3 linked regions of the Arabidopsis thaliana genome follow. The protein of the gene in region 1 interacts with the protein of each later gene in a pairwise test. Each region holds a gene or a part of one and is shown on either strand. Other genes may lie near its edges.

Region 1 (4,569 bases):
AGTAGTTTACAATATAGCCTCATTAAACCAAAAAAAAAAATATAGCCTCACACAGCTACAACCCCATTCTTGAAGTTATTATCATATTCACTGTGTCCATGGTAATTCTAAGACAACGAGAACAAGGAAATGTGTGTTAAAGAAAAACTGTGTGTTGTTAGGTTTAGTTGAAAAAACACAGGAAGGAAGAGAGTGTTTCGATTTTAAAGTCATAAATTAGTTGGTAACAACTAAATAAGTTATTGTACCTACTACTGTACTTAAAACTGTTGTTTTCAAGTTTGGTGAGACAGCTTTAGTAAATGCATGTGTTTCGCTTGTTTTAGCCTTCTTTGATTAGATTTGTTTTCCGAGAGTGAAATCGACCCCCATCATCAATGCAACTATCGTTATGGTAAGGATTTTCCTTTTAAATCATGCCACTCAAATGCAACAAAAAGGAAAAGAAACGCCCACCGTGGGGCTCGAACCCACGACCACAAGGTTAAGAGCCTTGCGCTCTACCAACTGAGCTAGACGGGCCTTGTTGTTAACGTTAGATACTTAAGTTATACTTAACTTAACTTAATACTATCAGAGTAGGAACTTGTTACAAGCCAATGAATGCACTATGTAACATTTAAAATATACAAAAAGGATTTATTGACACACACCAATTCCAAAAGAGTTTTAAAAAAAACTTCAGATAGGAACTCGTCACGAGCATTTTCATGTGACACAGGGAAGACCAGAACAGAGAAAACTAACTACCCTTTCATTTTTAAGTATTGACTACATTTGTAGAATGCTTGAAACTTACGGTAAGTCAACCTCGCGAGGGGTTTTAGATTTACTAATCGAATTTCTCTCCTCCATTAACCAGCTTGTTGCTCTTCTTGGACTTCTCCTTCATCTGCAACTCATAAGATATAGCATCAAGAAACATATCATCAATATGATGATACTAGATACCACATATACTGTTATGTGAGCTTGCAATTTGATGGCTGCGTTTATGGGTATGCGGTATGCCGAGAGATAAGCTAGTCTCAGTTTATGGAGTATTTATTTACCTGCTGAAGAAGCTTCTTCTGGAATCGGTAACCCTGATGAAAATAAGAACATATACCCACATTGTCAAATTTTTATCCAGAATTAGTAGACGCTAACCGGAAAAGAACTGAAGTTTCATTACTCACTTTATCAGTTCCATAGATGTAATCGCAGTAAGTAAAAACTGAAGCAAAGTTACTCTGGCTTTGTCCTCCAACGTAGTGATGGTAATCATGATACTCAGCTCCACCATAAAATGGAATGTACTTTGTCAGAGACCATGGGAAATCATATCTTCAAAAGAAAACGAAAAATAAAAAAAACAAGTCAATTTATCTCCAGAGAAACAAGTTTCATGCACCAAGCAATCATCATATTGTCCAAATACTTATTTGAACAAGACAAGATGCTTATCATCTCAAGAATGATTTCTTGCTCATGTTGACCACAAAAGATTAACTAAGCAGTCTCTAAACAATCACCTAGAGCTAATTACAGTCAATAAAGCATCAGAAAAGGCTAGTGCCTAACCTTAGCCCCACCAACAAAAGGTAAACGCACTATTGAAACTTCCCACATAGCCCCAACGCATTATAAACTAAGATAAACAATTCAAAACCATTCCTTTTCCTTACCCGCTATGAGTTTCGATAGCCTCAATCTGTCGTAAAGCAATCCACAACCAAAAGGTAATCATATGACCAGGAGCAATAGCAGGTCCAAGAAACGTGGGAATGCCAAGAAGCAAAACCTCAGCCCAATGAGCATAAGGAGCAGCATAACCAATAGGAGCTGTATACTCATGATGAATATGATGAAACTTCTCATAACCCCATTTACAATGAAAGAATCTATGAACCCAGTAATTAGTATAATCCTCTACCAAGAAGTAAACCACTAACTGTGCTACAATCTCCATACATGATGGTAATGGTAATCCACTTCGTATCTCAATCATCTGTTTCAACACACGAAAAACAAAATCAACCTAAATCGCATCAATTCCGAAATTAGAAGCCAAATTCCAGAAATTAACCTGAATCGAAGGATAAGAAACGAGTTGTAATGGACCAACGACGAGGATGAACATCTTCATGACGTCTTTGTAACATTTGAACATCGATGAGAATGAGTTTTTCACTTTTGGTTGGATTTTGTAGCGATTGAACAAATCTGAGGTGGATTGAGATGATTCGATGAAAACGAGAGGGAGAGGAACGAGAGAGAAGATGAGGAAGAGGAAGAGAATGTTGTGGCAGTAGAGGTAGTAATCGGATTTGGTGGCGGAGTAATCGAACCAGAGAGTCTCTAGCCATGTGAGGTTTCGAGATAATGCGATCGACGCTTCTTCGATTGTTGCGTATGGGATCATTGTAGAAGATGATGAAATCGTTTCCTTCCGGTGACGGCGACGGTCGTTGACGTGAGATTGAGATTGAGATTGAGAGAGAGAGTGAGAGAGGAGAGTGTCGTCGTTGTTGTTGGATTTTGTCTGTTATGATTTGGCGAATATTTGGAGTAGTGACGTGGCATTATCGGTTTAGTTTACAAGTGTGATGTTTACTTGTTGAACCGGATTAAACCAAAATTACTAACATTGTCTCAAGATCTCGCTTACAACATAAAAAAGAGGGACAAAATGGCCCATACTAAAAGCCCATTATAAATTATTGGGCCATTAAAATGGATAAAATGTACTCCACAGTAGCGTTGTGTTTGGAGTAGGCCCAATTTTCTTTCTTTAATTGTTTAAATGGTGCATACAAATTTCTGTTTTTTTTTTTAAGAAAAAAAACTTTATTATACACTTGGATATACACATATATATAAAGACACGGATATACATACACGAGTTTTGTGGAATGTGTCTATGAATTTTTATGACACCATTATACTATAGAGATAGCAAAAGGTTGAAATAAATTGAGGCTGTTGGCCAATTGTATTTAAGTAATAGAATGGTATTACATCATCACGAAAAGTGACGTTACATTTGAAATTATAAAGTCTTACAATTTTTTCGTCATGACAATAAATGATATTTAAATGTAATAATACATATTTTTTAAGTTTCAAGTATACATAAAAAAGGGTCACAAACGATCGTTGTTAAATACTTGGTGGAAAACAAGTGCGTTACGCGTGAACATGAGTGCGTATGGCATAAGAGAAGTCGACCACACCATTAATGACTTTAAATCAAGCCCAAAAGTTCTTTCTTTTAACAGTGGAAACAAACCTCGGACCAATCTCAGCCACACAAATTCTCCTTTTTATTTTATGTTGTTTTTTCTTGACGTTGATGAATTCTTGTTTTTGGTTATAAATTTTTTATATTACTTCCATTACTCAGCACTTTCGTAAAATTTAATGAATTGATGATACTAGTTGAGTCTCCCTCCTCTCTAATTGTTTATGTGTTTTTTTTCATTTGTTTATGTGCTTCTCACTATCACCTTAGATTTTTTGTGTTTTACGAAACTTGTTTGGGTTTCTCGTTTTCTTGTTTAACGTGTCAACTTTTCTACAAATCCAATAGTTTTGTTTCCTTTACACTTTATAGGATTGTGAGTCTCCCAAGTAATCTTCTAAAACAATGCATCAAGAAATTTATATTCATTTGTACAAGTATATTATTGCCTTTTTCCAACACATTTTATCCATAATAAGGATAGATTTTTTAAAAAATACTCCGTATGCTAACCAGAAAACATTTTAGCTCCATAATTACATAGAAGTTTTAATCTAATACAGTGCTACAATTCAACGCATTTCTATTTTACTATAATAAACACAAGTACGTAAGAATCAGCACAAGATATCATACTATAAAAGAATCGATCGTCGACAGGAAATATAAATACTATATTACAAGAACCACGTCTATATTACTACCTTTAATCGTGTATTTTTTTTGGTCGGTTTGAATTTAAATGTTAAAATCCACACTTATGTTAAAAAGAAAAAAAAAAACAATTTGATTTGGAAAAACATTTGAAAAATACAAATGAAAGAAAAGAAGATAATAAAAGAGTAAAGCAAAGCAAAAGCAGAGAATAACTCTTAATTCGCTTCTTTGCCAAGCAAACCACCAAAACCTCTCAATTGTTTTTTCTTCTTCCTCCTCCTTAAGCAAAGATCATCATTCACGAAATGTCTGATTCGATTCACCGGAGAAAAGTTTCGAATCCTGTAGGAAATGGAGGTCGGAGCTCCAGAACAAGACGAACAGCTTTCAGATATGTTTCCGACAAGAATAATCGCTCTAAATCGAGTAATAAGGTTTTCGAGAGAAGCTTCTCAGAGCCGAGTCTTAATCGCCACCGCGACGGACAGAGTAATCACTTGCGGCGACCATCGCCGATGAGAGGTTTACCGATGGAAGAAGAAACAAAACCGATCGTTTACTTGCCTAGGATTCGCTCTGAGGTTTTCGCTTCGTCTCCGTCGTTGTTGAACTTATATTCGCCCTCGTCTTCATCTCCGATCAATCAAGAGGTCAGAGTCGTTTGCTTCTATTTTTTCAAATCAACAAAT
Region 2 (6,090 bases), on another chromosome or scaffold:
TACCAACTTTATAGAGAACGCAAAAGAAAAGAGATTGATAAAGATGGCTAAAGGGTTTTCTTCGAGAGACTTGTTAATTCTATATACATATATTTCTGCTTTTTTACGTCTAAGCTTTTTCATCTTTTGATCTTTCTTATCTTTTTGGCTCTCGCTTTTTGCTTTTTTCTCTGGGCATAGTACGAAGCTCTCTCTAAATTCTTTTGCTTAGCGAGGAAGGTGACAGTGGAGAAGAAAGACGAAAAGAGAAGACCACAAATATCCAAAAAGTTCTCAAACGGTTTTTTTAAGGATTTTTTTTTTCATATCAGATCCGTCAATTTTAGGATAACATCCAACAAACGATACCGTTTCGGGGTCTCAAATTTTTAATGTGAAAAAAAATGGCGCTAAAAGTTTAACAAAATCGCGCTAACAAATTTTCGAAAGAGGAAGCAATACGACATCGTATAATGCCCGTGCTATCTTTCGAAAACGGTGGCGTTTAATCTCAAACGTAATATGCCATCTTTAAAACCAGAATGATGCGTCGTCGTATATGTAAATGATAACAAAGCAGCTTAAACGACGCTGTTTAGAAAGGAAGACAAAATTATATCTTCCTTGGAACACATTTTATATCCATCCACAAGTCCCCCCAACACATGATGCTAAACTATAAATTGCAATCAAAAGTTAATATTTACAGACAGCTTTCTCAGATTCAAACCTCCATTTCTATCTTATAAACAAATTTTTGTATTCCAAGGCGACTCAGAGAGAAGAAAACGAGCTTGTTTCCACTTTCATTCACTCCACCACAACACACCACATTGGGCCTAAGAACCATTCTGCAATCCCACGAGGCTTTTTCCCGGTAACTACAAAAGAAGATTGGCGGATGTTTGCTTCAGGTCAATGATTATGATGATTGTTTGGTTCATATAGGACTTGCTTTAGACACCTGCGCCGTCGTTTCCGAACCAAAAACTGTTAAGTGACCTCCCTAAACAATCTATGGTCGATAAAAAGGAAACTCTGAAATAACCTCAGAAGTCACTAATAGAATGAAAACTTCTTTCTCATTTGAGGATTTTTCGTAGTGTTTCAACTATGTATTCATGTTCAGACCGCAATTCGTTCAAACCTTTCTCGAATGCTCTCAACATTGCGTTTATCTTAAAAGTGAGCATACGGTTTGAGTTTTTCTTATCTAAATAGAGTTAGTTAGCTATAAATATTGTGGTTTGCTTCGGTTTATATTCCCACCCCTAGTTTATCTGATGCATGCATTTACAGCTTACTATAAAACTCCTTGTATGTGTCAGACATGACTTCCTAATTTAGATGTTCATCAAGAGAATTGTATACCTGATTTTTCGACACTGTGGCGGAGGCCCAGTCTTGTTGAGGACCTTGAGGTTGCCTTGGAACAGTTTCATAGTTGACATAAGTAATCCTTCTGGTGTCTTCTTGCCTACTCACAATGTTTTGAGGGGGTAACTCCCGCAAAACCCATAAAACGAAAGCCAATGGGACGGTGGAACCTTTAAAAAGCGTTCTTATCAGTAACCCTGCATTTGAAGGTCTTCAAAACAACAAAACGAAAGAAAAAAATCTTCACCTATGAAATAGTATATGATCAGAAGAACCAATGCTTTGATGCCGTGTAATTTGCTTGGGTTCCAATGATAAAAGAGCTGAGATCAAAGATTGGTTTTGGTTAAATGTATCGACGAATGTTAGGTTTCGGTTTACAGACATACTTTTTTGAGTGATAATGACTTACTGGAATGTGTGTGAGAAGAGCGATTAAAGAGCTAACAGTGAAGCAAACAACTGAGACTCCTGCTAGACCCGATACCTATAAATGGTTAAAATGTACTTTCAGGGTAAGGATTCGACTGACATGTGCAAAGAAAGAAAAGCTTGTTGAGCCAAAGAATCATTAGTTACCTTTCGCATCTCTGATGAAACTTGTTCAGACCGCACCTTTCTTAGATTAAAGAGCAGACGCAGGCCTAAAGAACATAAAAGAGTTTGTGAATATACGCTGTTCAATCATAGCAATAAGCCAGTAAACCACTGACCAAAACATCTCACGAATTGCTAGAAGAAAAATATGAATAGCTGAAACCAGAAAAGAACTTAAGAAATCACTTACCATAGAAGCAGATTCCTCCTCCAGTGATTAGGATTATTGCAGCAAAAATATCGACATACACCTATATAAGGAAGTGAGTTTATCATAAAACCAGAAAAAATATAGACAAAAGTCTTCTATTTCTCGAGCTTAAGAACTTAGTGAAAGAGGAAATATCAATGTGCAGAGGAATACCACATACCTCAGCCAATAATGAAGAATTCATAGGATTCTTTCCGGAAGCGATCCAGATAAGGATTGCAAATGATATCATTAAGATGAACACAAGAATAATTGCCTAGCAAAAAAGATAAACATTTTTATAAAGATCATAGAAATGACTTGGCTAGAGGTTAATGCACAAAACTGAAAGTATCCCATACCGCAACAACAAACTTCTGCCGGGTTCCAACATGAATACCATGGAAAGAGCAACACTTTCTACGATCACTTGCATTCGAAGAACCTGGCTTGCTCTTGCTTTTTTCAAGCAACACTTGTTGGATGCTATTTTCTTCATCATCATCATCATCCTCCTCTCCATTTCCCTGATGGCAAACATCTACCCTATAACATGAAGAAGCATCATTGTCTTATCTCAGATCATTATTAAGATAAAATAATCAGGGACAACACAATATGATCAGAGTATTGAGAATATACATACCAGAAAGAGAGAAGCAGGAGAAAAGTTGCCAGAAACAGAATTTTGGGAAAGGCTGCAAGTACAATTTGATTCATCAGGGAATTAACTATAAGACAAATCAATGAAAAACATACACAAACCTTCACAAAGGAATGAAATATTTACCCATGAGTAGAAAACCTAATGCGTTGGACCAATGATGCCACCTTGTGCAAGTCGCTATAACCGCAGCCACGAAATAAATAACAGAACCTGCCAATATATACGAATAGAGACCTTACTCACTGGCTAAAACTTCCCCCAATTATAATTGTTCCTGAACAACAAATGACTGAGGATTTACCAGTGTTTGAAGAAGCAATCATAAGATGAAGTACCTGCAATTTTCATGATGGATGTGTCAGATACACGCCATGAAAAGTAACAATAACTGTAACCATATAACAATAACATAGAGCCTAAATTGGTTGGGATGAGAAGAAATACTTTTTGCCGAGTCCATCCAACTTGTTTATTCCGCCTGTGAAATCGAGATAACTGAAAGAAGTAGGCAGCCAAGATAAATCTTATAAGCCAAACCCCACAAAAAAAGAAGAGAATAAGACTTTTTTTTTATTACTTCACCGTCTAAAACTACATAGGAACCTTTGAAAAGAACATCTTAATCTACACACATAGCACTTAAAAAAGAAAAAAAGATTCTACTTTCTAATGCTAATAATTCATATCATATTCAGATTCCCTGAATCCAAATCTCTCATTCTACACAAACACACTTCAGCTCCGTGAGTTATTCATAGAGTTGACCTTTAAACTTAATGGTCAACCACATGAACAACAGACACACAACTCTAAAGACTGAAATCAACCAATTCATTAAATTCAACATCAAGAATCAATAATCTCACATCTCGTTTAATCAATAAGCACAATGCTTCACCTGTCCGAACAGGCCTTAACGGTCACACACAATCTAGCATTCACAAATCAAGACTGATTTTTTCTTTTTCTTTCAGGAAATCAGAAGAACCAAGAATCAGAACCTGAAGGAATGCGATGAAAGCAAGAGCGGCATCGATAAAAGCCAAACAGAGATTGACGGCGATGAAGCTAGGAGCATAGCATTTATCCTTGGTTGATTCGAAAAGAGTCGCTAAGATCTTCATCGTGAATCCGCTCTTTTCTTCTCGATCCTCCCCAAGAGATCGAATGCCTAGATTTTAGGTTTGTAAGAGAGAGAGGATCAAAGAACACCACCGAGACAGATGGTTGTAGGAGATGGGTTGGGTCTGGTCTGAGAGACAAAAATAAAAATTATTTTTTATATTTATATATTTCCTGGACAACACAATATACTATCTACTAAATTTAATTGCTACAAGTGGTACGGCACACTAGAATATACAACAATTACTGCCATAAATTAATTAATTAATTACTCTTGGCTTAAAAGAATTATTAAGTAATCAATATCTCTTTAACTAAAATTAATTATTAATTATTGTTAGAAGATGTAAAATGAGGGTTTTTTGTAAAAATCAGAACTAAACGAGTTATTTTTGCAAAACAGAGACACCTCTTTTCTGCAACTCTCTTCTCCGACCATGCTCAGGTACATAATCCGATTTCTTTTGTATAGTTTGTGTTCTGCAATAGACTCAAGCTTCTTTAGTTTCCAATTTCTCTAGATTTTCTGCATTTCTTTCAAATTGGATCAACAAAGACGATGATTTGACAACTCCTTTGCCTTAAAACCTTACCAAAGTGAGTCCTAAACTCACAAACAATTCAGGGATTACTAATCAAACTTTGACAATTCCAGTGACTACAAATTTACTTGTCATTGATGGTAGACTATAGAGTTTGAGAAAATGCATGTAGCAAGCAAAATTAAATCACTTTGTATTCAGAAATGAATTTGAATAAGTACATTAGTTTGGTATGATCTTTGTTCTACAGCAAATACATTACATGTTTGAAGGAATATCCTAAAGAATGAAAAAATCTAAAGGGAAAAAAATGAATCTGTTCTTATTGTGTGTTCAGTTGCTTTGATGGACTTAAAAATCGACAAGAAAGATTATATATCTGCACACTTTGTAGGTGCATACCCGAGCCTAGACCTCTTTGTATCATAGAGTATATGAAAATTCTGCTGCTGGTAGTTTCCAATGATTGAAAATGCTGATTTGGGAGTTCCTAGCATTGCCAAGCAAACCAAATCCTCATTCAACCATATGAAAGAATTCTCTGTCGGGAAGTTCCAAACAGCGCCATCTGCAAAAGCAATCCCAAGCTCTGGCAGCTGAACGTTATGAATGCCAGAGACGTTGAAGCAAGGATCTAGGATTGGAAAATCTCTATAGACCGGATACTTCCCTTTAGCTTTCTCAGCAATCTTGTTCTTGATGAATTCATATGCAGGTTCTGCGAAGTAACTTAAGGTTGTACCTGAATCAATGATCGTCCCTCCAGCTCCATCTGATGAGATATTCCATGTTTCTTCAGGTATGTTTAGAACTTCTCCCGCGACTAGAATGGATTTGATTTGTACGTAGTAAAATGTGTCGACGAGGTTTTCTTTCCCAGCGACAAAAGAAGTGAAGTTCAGATTCGGGTGACTTAACAAATCCTTGTCTTCTCCGAAAATCAGTTTGCTACTAACGTTGGTATCGCTGTTTCTGTCGACAAGGCAATAAGAGAAGGAATGACCATAAAGAGACTGAAGCTGAGAGGAAAACGAAAGCGGGCCTCTTCCTAAACCAAGCAAGCCTGCAGCACCATGGAAGAGACCTCGGTTCCAATGACCGCAACCGAACATCATATTTTCAACATTATACAACTCCGAGCTCCCTCCATTTGTCGTGAGGTTAACCGTGAAAGTCTCTACTGCAAAATCTCCGGTAGTGTTGGAGCTATCCCCATACCAGTAGTAGTAAGGGCATGATTGGTTATCTGATTTGCAGGGCATTGGAGGGTCAGGTGATGAGACTAGGTTGCATCTTTGGTCATTGCAAGTTATGTTCTTGTAAGAAGCAGAGGCTTTAGGGTCATAAAACGCACCGTTTTGCTGGAAACAGTCGTAGCAAGGCAAGCATTGAATCCAGTTTAAGTCACTCCCTGTATCAAGAATCAAGGAGAAGTGTTTTGGTGGCGAACCAACCAACACGTCCATGAAGTACTCGCCAGAACCGAGAGTCATACCAGACTCAAGTGTTGCCACCAATTGACCAGCCTGCTCCTCCACGGAAGAAGCCACCGGAGTAGTGGTAACAACTTCTTTATCATTCTTCTTCTGCTTCTGCGAAACAGTGTTTTGGTT
Region 3 (6,956 bases), on another chromosome or scaffold:
AATGAGTTCTGTACATGTCTACTCTAAAATAATCAGACTGGTTTTTTCTGATTTTACAACTGGATTAGCCATATTTGTTTAAAGTTATTGATTGTTTGTGTATTTTTTTTCCTTACTATGTAATATTTCTGGGAGCTTATATTTGGGTTCCCAAAGTTGAAAATTTACCATTTTTGCTTGGTTTTACACTTTTAAGGTTTTAAGTATCTCGTTGTTTGTTCTCTATCTGTTCAACAAACGCCTTTGGGAGGTTACTTTTGTTAGTTTTGATTCTATTCCCTATCAACTATATGCTAAAAGAGGAGATTTCATGGCACTTAGTGATAAAAGTCAAATATGCCTGGTCTGTTCTGTTCTTGTGCTGCACAGATTATAGATTTGCGTCACTGGTGCTATCAAGCAAGGACCAGTGTTCTACTGCCAGCCAGGTAACAAATCTCCATACCATCTTCTGTTTATTTGATTTCCATAACACAGTTTCTTCTGAAGCTATGTTAGCAAACGAAGTGCCTTATTTGATATATTTACGGTGGTTCGTTGGTAGACTCTCTCTTAGGGGTTCATGCATGCATCACTTGTAATCTGATAATGTAGCCATGCTTATCTTTTTTCTCCAATATATGTATCTCTGATAGATACCATCCTCATGCTAAACAAATCTCATTAGTCAGAATGATAGTATCTCTCTTTTCTTTTTTTTTTCCTTACACAACGGGCTACAAACAGTTTATCAAGTTTGAAGAGAGTGACATCTGACATATTGAAATATATGGAAATTGCATCCTGCTGTATATGCTTCTAATGCAGTGGAGAGTTAAGTCCTTCCTGAGAAGAGAGAGCATGGTGAACAGGGTATCGCCTGGAAGGGAAAGGTGTCATTCTTCTGAAAGAAGGCCTTTTCTGGATATGGCTCAGAGTTCTCTTTGTGTATAACATGTGAATAACTGGGAAAACCTTTTCCCGGAACTTGAGGATGGCGAAGAAGGCAATCCTATACCCAATGAGAATCATCATCACAACTGCTAGATCCAACCACTTTGAACTTTCTGGATTTATGCCTAGAACAGTTTGAAGAATGAGTTCTCCTTTCATTTTTGGTACCAAGGGTAACGGAGAATCATACTCCACCCCAATCATCTCATTCTTGTATGCTCCCTGCAATTTATCAGGTATGCTCATTTAAGATAGCTACTTGACGATATAGTCTGCATCTTAAAGTTGAGAAAACCTGGTTACCTGTAGTGCCCATGCACCATAGTTTATGTAGGACACCGGGTATCGCCAGAACACCATTGGTAAGTCGGGGAAGAATCGGAAAAACCCCGCACTTAACACCATAATTCCCTATGAGATGAAGGATAAAGCGGTTTTCAATTTAGAATAGTTTTTGGAGATATAAGAAAGCTTGTAGGTGAAAGAGCGACAGAGGCCACTCTTACAATGTAACCAGCTCCCAACATGACTCCCATCAAGAAGTTAGGGACTACTGAAGCTATCATCATCATGCAACTCTCCACAGTTGTAATCGCGCAGATAAGGTCGAGACAGTTGTAGAAGAAATGAGAACCTCCGGATTGGAACCTCACCATGTAGATAGTGATTGAGCTGGTGGAGAGGCACATAAGGATTATGAAAGGTAATGAGGAGAGTAAATTAGACACAGTGTATACTGCAACCCCATAGTGTCCATTGAGCCTTTCGCGAGAAAACACCTGTTTTCAGGAATAAAGATGCTAAAACATAAGATAAGTTTTTAGGTGAAGAAAGAGAATTTTTCTCTGTTTAGCTCTTTACCTTCATTTCTTCAATGAAGGATTGGAATCCTCCTATTGACATGAATGTCATAAAGCCTGCCATAAATCCGCCACAAGCTGCAGTACTCATAACATTTGTGTGGTTTCTCCCGACGTTGAAGAAGATTGACCCGACACAAATGGATAACACTATGTAGACTGCAATCCGCATCCAGTAGTACCCCAAGTCTCTACTCATGTTGATGAAAGATCGCTGAGTAAGTATTCTGAGTTGTTTCCACCAATTAGTTTGGCTCCCCTTTTTCCTTTCTGTGACAATCCCCACCTGTTGCACAAGGTTTATAACTGTGCTTATGAGACTCTCATTATGTGATACATTGTAGTTTTAAGGGAAGTAGTAACCGTAACTTACTATCGATGCTATTTCTTGAATTCTTGCTCTTGAAGCTGCTGCATAAAGTGAACACTTAAATTTTCTGACAAGTGTTGTTCTAATTTCTGCAGTTGGTATATCATCCAGAGGATCTAATGTGTTTGTAGTTTCATGTAGTTGGTGAAGAGAGAAAGATGAATCCTGCAGATGTAAAAGGTCGAGGTCAAAAGCTTGAGAGTATTGTAAGTTCATGAAAAAACAAGAAGGGCAGAGGAAAACAAACGTTGATTCTCCGAGATTCAACCAAAGCCGCTGTGACATTATCGAAATCGGAATTGACACAGCGAAGGAAGTGGTCTGATGGATTCCGTCTACTTGGACAAGGAAAACCTGCTTCACCAAAGAACTGCAATGTCGAAGCAACAACAACACAAATGAGCATAATGGTTATATACTCTTGCCAATGCTCTATCTTATTACCTTTGTTGCAGATTCTGCTTCGCCAAAGTAAACAGTTTCTCCTCCAGACAGAAGTAGCAGGTCATCAAAGAGGGCGAAAACCTCACCACTCGGCTGATGGATCGAAGAAACCACAGTTTTGCCACTGCTTGCTATGTTTCTAAGAATCTGAACCACGAAGAAAGCTGAAGCACTGTCCAGTCCACTAGTTGGTTCGTCTAGAAAGAGGAGACTTGGTTTTGTTAAGACCTCGAGGGCAATACTAAGCCGTTTCTTCTCTCCTCCGCTTATTCCACGCAAATGCCAGTTTCCAATGGTCCTGTCTGAACATTCTTCAAGACCCATGTCAGTGATTGTAGCTTCCACAATGTCACTGATCTCTTCTCTGGTAAGCTTTGAAGGGAGCCTGAGATGAGCCGAGTAAGATATGGATTCTCTCACTGTCAAAGTTCCTAGCAACACATCTTCTTGCGTCACATAAGCCTGAGAGTTTAGGACATTCATGAATAATAATAGTTTGATTGTGTAAAAGGGTAAAAACTAAAGAGAAAAGATAAATTTTCTTACGGCAGCACCAAAGTCAAGTCTTCTCTTCTTGCCATTGACAAGTACTTTGCCACTCATTACAACATTCCCTGCTAATCTTCCTGTACCATCACCAAATTTACCTTTTAATGTTAGATGTTAAATCTTTCATGTTTTTGAACAATCTTATAGCATTGATAGAACAATCTTATAACCCGGTTTTGGGTTTTTCGCTTTTACAAGAATATTAGCCACAGTAAAATTAAATTGGTTTCGATTAGTCATAAGCATAAAATAAAGATCTTCTTAATCCAATCAAATTTAGGTTTGGTCAAGAAAATAATAATCGATTTGGATTGTTTTTGGATTGAACGTAACATCCCTCAAAGAGTCCGACCAGTCACCAAACCGGGTTCAACTTGTGAAGAGATCGCAAGTCGGTATGAAGATACGATCGTGCAATCCTAAATATTTGTGTCAGAATATTGGTGATTGGTAGTTGGTTAACATTTAAAATATGATTTAATAAGAAATGTTACTGCAAAATTTCTGTACATAGTCTACGTTAGAGAAACGTAACTATCAATTTATTCAATACTAAATGTACGACGATGTAAATTTATTAATTAAGAACATGAAAATTGCAACTATTTTTTTTTTAATATTTATTTAGTACTCCGATAGTATATAGCTATACTTAAAAAATAAAATTGGTAGCTAGAATCCATAAATATAAAGTTAGAAATATCTATATATGTCTCATCGTGTACATGAAACTTAGATATAAATATAGCACTGTTTTTCAATAGTTATAAATATCTTGATACATAAATATGTTATATCATGCTCTCAAATTTCTTTTACATATATATATGTTACGTTTGGTCAAAGTTACAGAAGAAAAAAAAAAAAAATTACAGAAGAGTACAAAAACTTCAGTTAATATTTTCATTTCACCAAATTGTGATACTGATACAGTATGTACATAGTTTGTTGCTTTCAAATAGGAAAGTTATCAATTTTATTGTAGTAATGTATTTTTCCAATATACAAAAAACTAATCAAGTATCATATTAGTTAATTTTGATTACATACGAATTTACAGGTTAATAATAATTAAATATTTTATGTTGAATAGGACACACACCCACCCACGCACAGACATACACCTATATATATATATATATATATATATCTAACAAATAAATTCTAACTTATATTCTCAAATTTAACTACGAATGGCAGAAATCCTTATCAATTCCAAATAAAAATTACTAAAAGATTTGTGAATATTTTTTAATGTAAGAAAACAGAAATTTCTTATTTTCCAAAAGTGAAACACTTTTTACATAGTATATTGAGAAAGTTTCCTTGGACAATTTTTTAAAAGAAAGACATAACGTCATGTATATTGTTAATTATAGTTATATATATATATATATAGAGTACATAGAACGATTCACTAAATACTAGGTTCAAAGTGGGTAAGTCTCATCCTTTAATGTTGGTTTCAAAGCTAAATGTGGTTGGTTGTTAAATTCCTCTAAAAACTATATCTTTTAATTGTTGGTCGATGTTGCTTCAGCTTATTTGAGATTTATATAATAGAGGAAAACCATTTAACAATAAAAGAAATACATAATAAAAACGACGAGCTAATCTTGACATGTATGGGTGTGTGTGTCTGAGAGAGAGAGAAGGGACCTGCTAAAGCATCAAGAAGCGTAGATTTGCCTGAACCTGAAGGACCCATAATAGCTAAGATCCTATTTGGCTCACCACAACCATTCACTCCATTCAGTAATCTCTTAGTTGCTCCTTCACCGAAGTTTGGTATCACCACCGTAAGATCCTCCCACGCCACATACATCGCCCCCTCCGGCGTAGTCATGTATGCTTTTGTTAGATAGATCGAAAACTGAGCGAAGAGTTTTAAACTTGTTCTAGCTTAAGAGTTTTTTTTTTTGTTTCTTTGGGAGAGAAAAGTGTAATGTGTGTGAATGCTTGTGGCCTTATTTATAGTTATAAAAAGTTGTGCGGTGAATGTATTAAGAGAACTAGGGTCTTTGAAAAAAAAAATGTATAAATTAGGGTGGTCCAAATTGGTTTAAACTAATTTGAGTCAAACCGAAACTGTACCAAAGAAAGTGATTGGAAAAAACTAGATGTAATAAATTCGGTTACATATTTTTGATATATAAAATAAATCATGACTAAAAATAAATAAAACATATAGTTTAGTTAAAATAAAATAAAAAAAATTTAGAATCCGAAGAAAAATCGAACCAAACTAAATGATATTGGTTTCTATTTATTTTATGAAACCAAAACAAAATATCTACCCATGCAAAACAGAAAAGTGGATTAAGAATAGTGTAAAAGACAGAAAGGAAACTATTATATATGTACACTATCATGCATGCATAGACGAGGCATGTGACAGAAAAATTGACGTTTGATGTTATATTCATTTACTCGTTGGACCCGTTCGGTACTATATATGTCGAGAGCTACAGACATCCGCATGATAAGAAACTTATGGTTTCGTTACACGATTTAAGGAAACATAACACTTTAGGGTATATATCACGTAAATTGCAATAATTTTATTTTCTGGTAATTTTGTCCAAATTTTTTATAAAATTCCGATTTGGTTGGGTGTATCAACTAGTATAGCACTCCAAAACATTGTTTTTTTTCAAACGAATCACAGAGGAAATTCAAATCCATGAGGAGAGTCTATACTATTCAACTCAACTATATTTAGACGCCATTACTTTTGGAAAATTATTTGAATTATTTATATACATTGTGAACGTGATATATATAACTTAACATCGACATAAGGCCGTATATCAGAACGTTTAGATTAAAGTAATCTAGTTGTTGCATATTGAGTTTATGTAACTGGTAAGAAAGTAATCAAGAGAGTATATAAGGAATTTTAAGTATGTTGTGTAAACATATGATTGGATCAATTATTTTATCATAATGGCCGAAAATTAACCACGGAAAAGGTTATCATTAATATTTTAATTATTTTTATAAAGCAATTAATTTTGGTCGTATGTTAAATTTCTTATTGAGATATACTATTTAGTTTCTGCCTCTGGAAAGAAACCGTCCAATGTTCCTTGCTGCTTCAATGTGGTTCGTGTTGGTAATTTTTGAGGCAAAAGACGGATTCTCAACGTCATAAGATTTTTTTTATAGTGACTATTTTTAATCTCCCCCAAATTGTTTGCAGAAGTGTATTCGACACATCATGAGCTTGCTTGTTGCATTTTGCTATTTAACTTTTGTTTTCGAGTTTTTATTTATGGCCCCCTATCATCTATTTTTATTGTTTATCAAACCTATCGTTCTATTTATATTGTAAGTTTATATATTTTTTTTAAGATTATAATACCGAACCATGAATTTGAAGAGCTTGCAAATTTATTCTCTTTCGGATATGACGAATGGAAAACAAGTATGTTGTAAAAAAAAAAAAAAAAACAGATGGTGACGGATTTGTTTTAACCATGTGATGTTTTTAACCATGTTTCGTGCTAATCAAACACATACACAGTACCAAATACACTGTTTCAACGTTTATGTCTTCTTGTCTTCAATTGTATCAACAGAAATTAAAGCTATGTAGTTAGTGTGACTAAATTATTCATTTCTGCTAAGAAAGAAAATTCATTACTGCGATAACCTAATCATAGATTGTTAGATAAACTTATTAAATGACTTCTTCCATCTTTTCCATATCATAACTATAATCAATTTTTTGTTTAACCAAAAAAAAAACAACTATAATTATTTTCTTGTGGTCCATAAATGCTAGAAATATCCTAATA

What was found.
Region 2: the proteins of SMO1-2 (region 1) and Cand3 interact in a protein complementation assay, tested with the Arabidopsis thaliana proteins (one large-scale study listed by BioGRID).
Region 3: the proteins of SMO1-2 (region 1) and ABCG13 interact in a protein complementation assay, tested with the Arabidopsis thaliana proteins (one large-scale study listed by BioGRID).

The regions. Positions count from the first base shown.
Region 1 is NC_003075.7:11,954,292-11,958,860, forward strand, and holds SMO1-2 (sterol C4-methyl oxidase 1-2), read right to left. Parts: upstream 2,628-4,569; 5' UTR 2,405-2,627; coding exon 2,069-2,404; intron 1,991-2,068; coding exon 1,668-1,990; intron 1,327-1,667; coding exon 1,179-1,326; intron 1,086-1,178; coding exon 1,053-1,085; intron 893-1,052; coding exon 833-892; 3' UTR 549-832; downstream 1-548. Other genes in the region: AT4G22758 (PPR containing protein), read left to right, coding at 4,186-4,530. UniProt on the Arabidopsis thaliana protein: Non-heme iron oxygenase involved in sterols biosynthesis by catalyzing the removal of the first methyl group at the C-4 position. 4,4-dimethyl-9-beta,19-cyclopropylsterols such as 24-methylenecycloartanol are the preferred substrates.
Region 2 is NC_003074.8:21,837,178-21,843,267, reverse strand, and holds Cand3 (tobamovirus multiplication protein), read right to left. Parts: upstream 4,084-6,090; 5' UTR 3,935-4,083; coding exon 3,812-3,934; intron 3,334-3,811; coding exon of another isoform or gene 3,306-3,333; coding exon 3,255-3,305; exon of another isoform or gene 3,146-3,254; coding exon 3,112-3,145; intron 3,021-3,111; coding exon 2,934-3,020; intron 2,842-2,933; coding exon 2,790-2,841; intron 2,690-2,789; coding exon 2,506-2,689; intron 2,421-2,505; coding exon 2,325-2,420; intron 2,205-2,324; coding exon 2,144-2,204; intron 2,001-2,143; coding exon 1,936-2,000; intron 1,844-1,935; coding exon 1,769-1,843; intron 1,680-1,768; coding exon 1,604-1,679; intron 1,527-1,603; coding exon 1,351-1,526; intron 944-1,350; coding exon of another isoform or gene 920-943; exon of another isoform or gene 861-919; coding exon 819-860; 3' UTR 505-818; downstream 1-504. Other genes in the region: AT3G59080 (Eukaryotic aspartyl protease family protein), read right to left, coding at 4,849-6,090.
Region 3 is NC_003070.9:19,076,334-19,083,289, forward strand, and holds ABCG13 (ABC-2 type transporter family protein), read right to left. Parts: upstream 5,119-6,956; 5' UTR 5,003-5,118; coding exon 4,816-5,002; intron 3,234-4,815; coding exon 3,154-3,233; intron 3,070-3,153; coding exon 2,608-3,069; intron 2,534-2,607; coding exon 2,411-2,533; intron 2,329-2,410; coding exon 2,167-2,328; intron 2,080-2,166; coding exon 1,795-2,079; intron 1,713-1,794; coding exon 1,440-1,712; intron 1,345-1,439; coding exon 1,237-1,344; intron 1,156-1,236; coding exon 799-1,155; 3' UTR 505-798; downstream 1-504.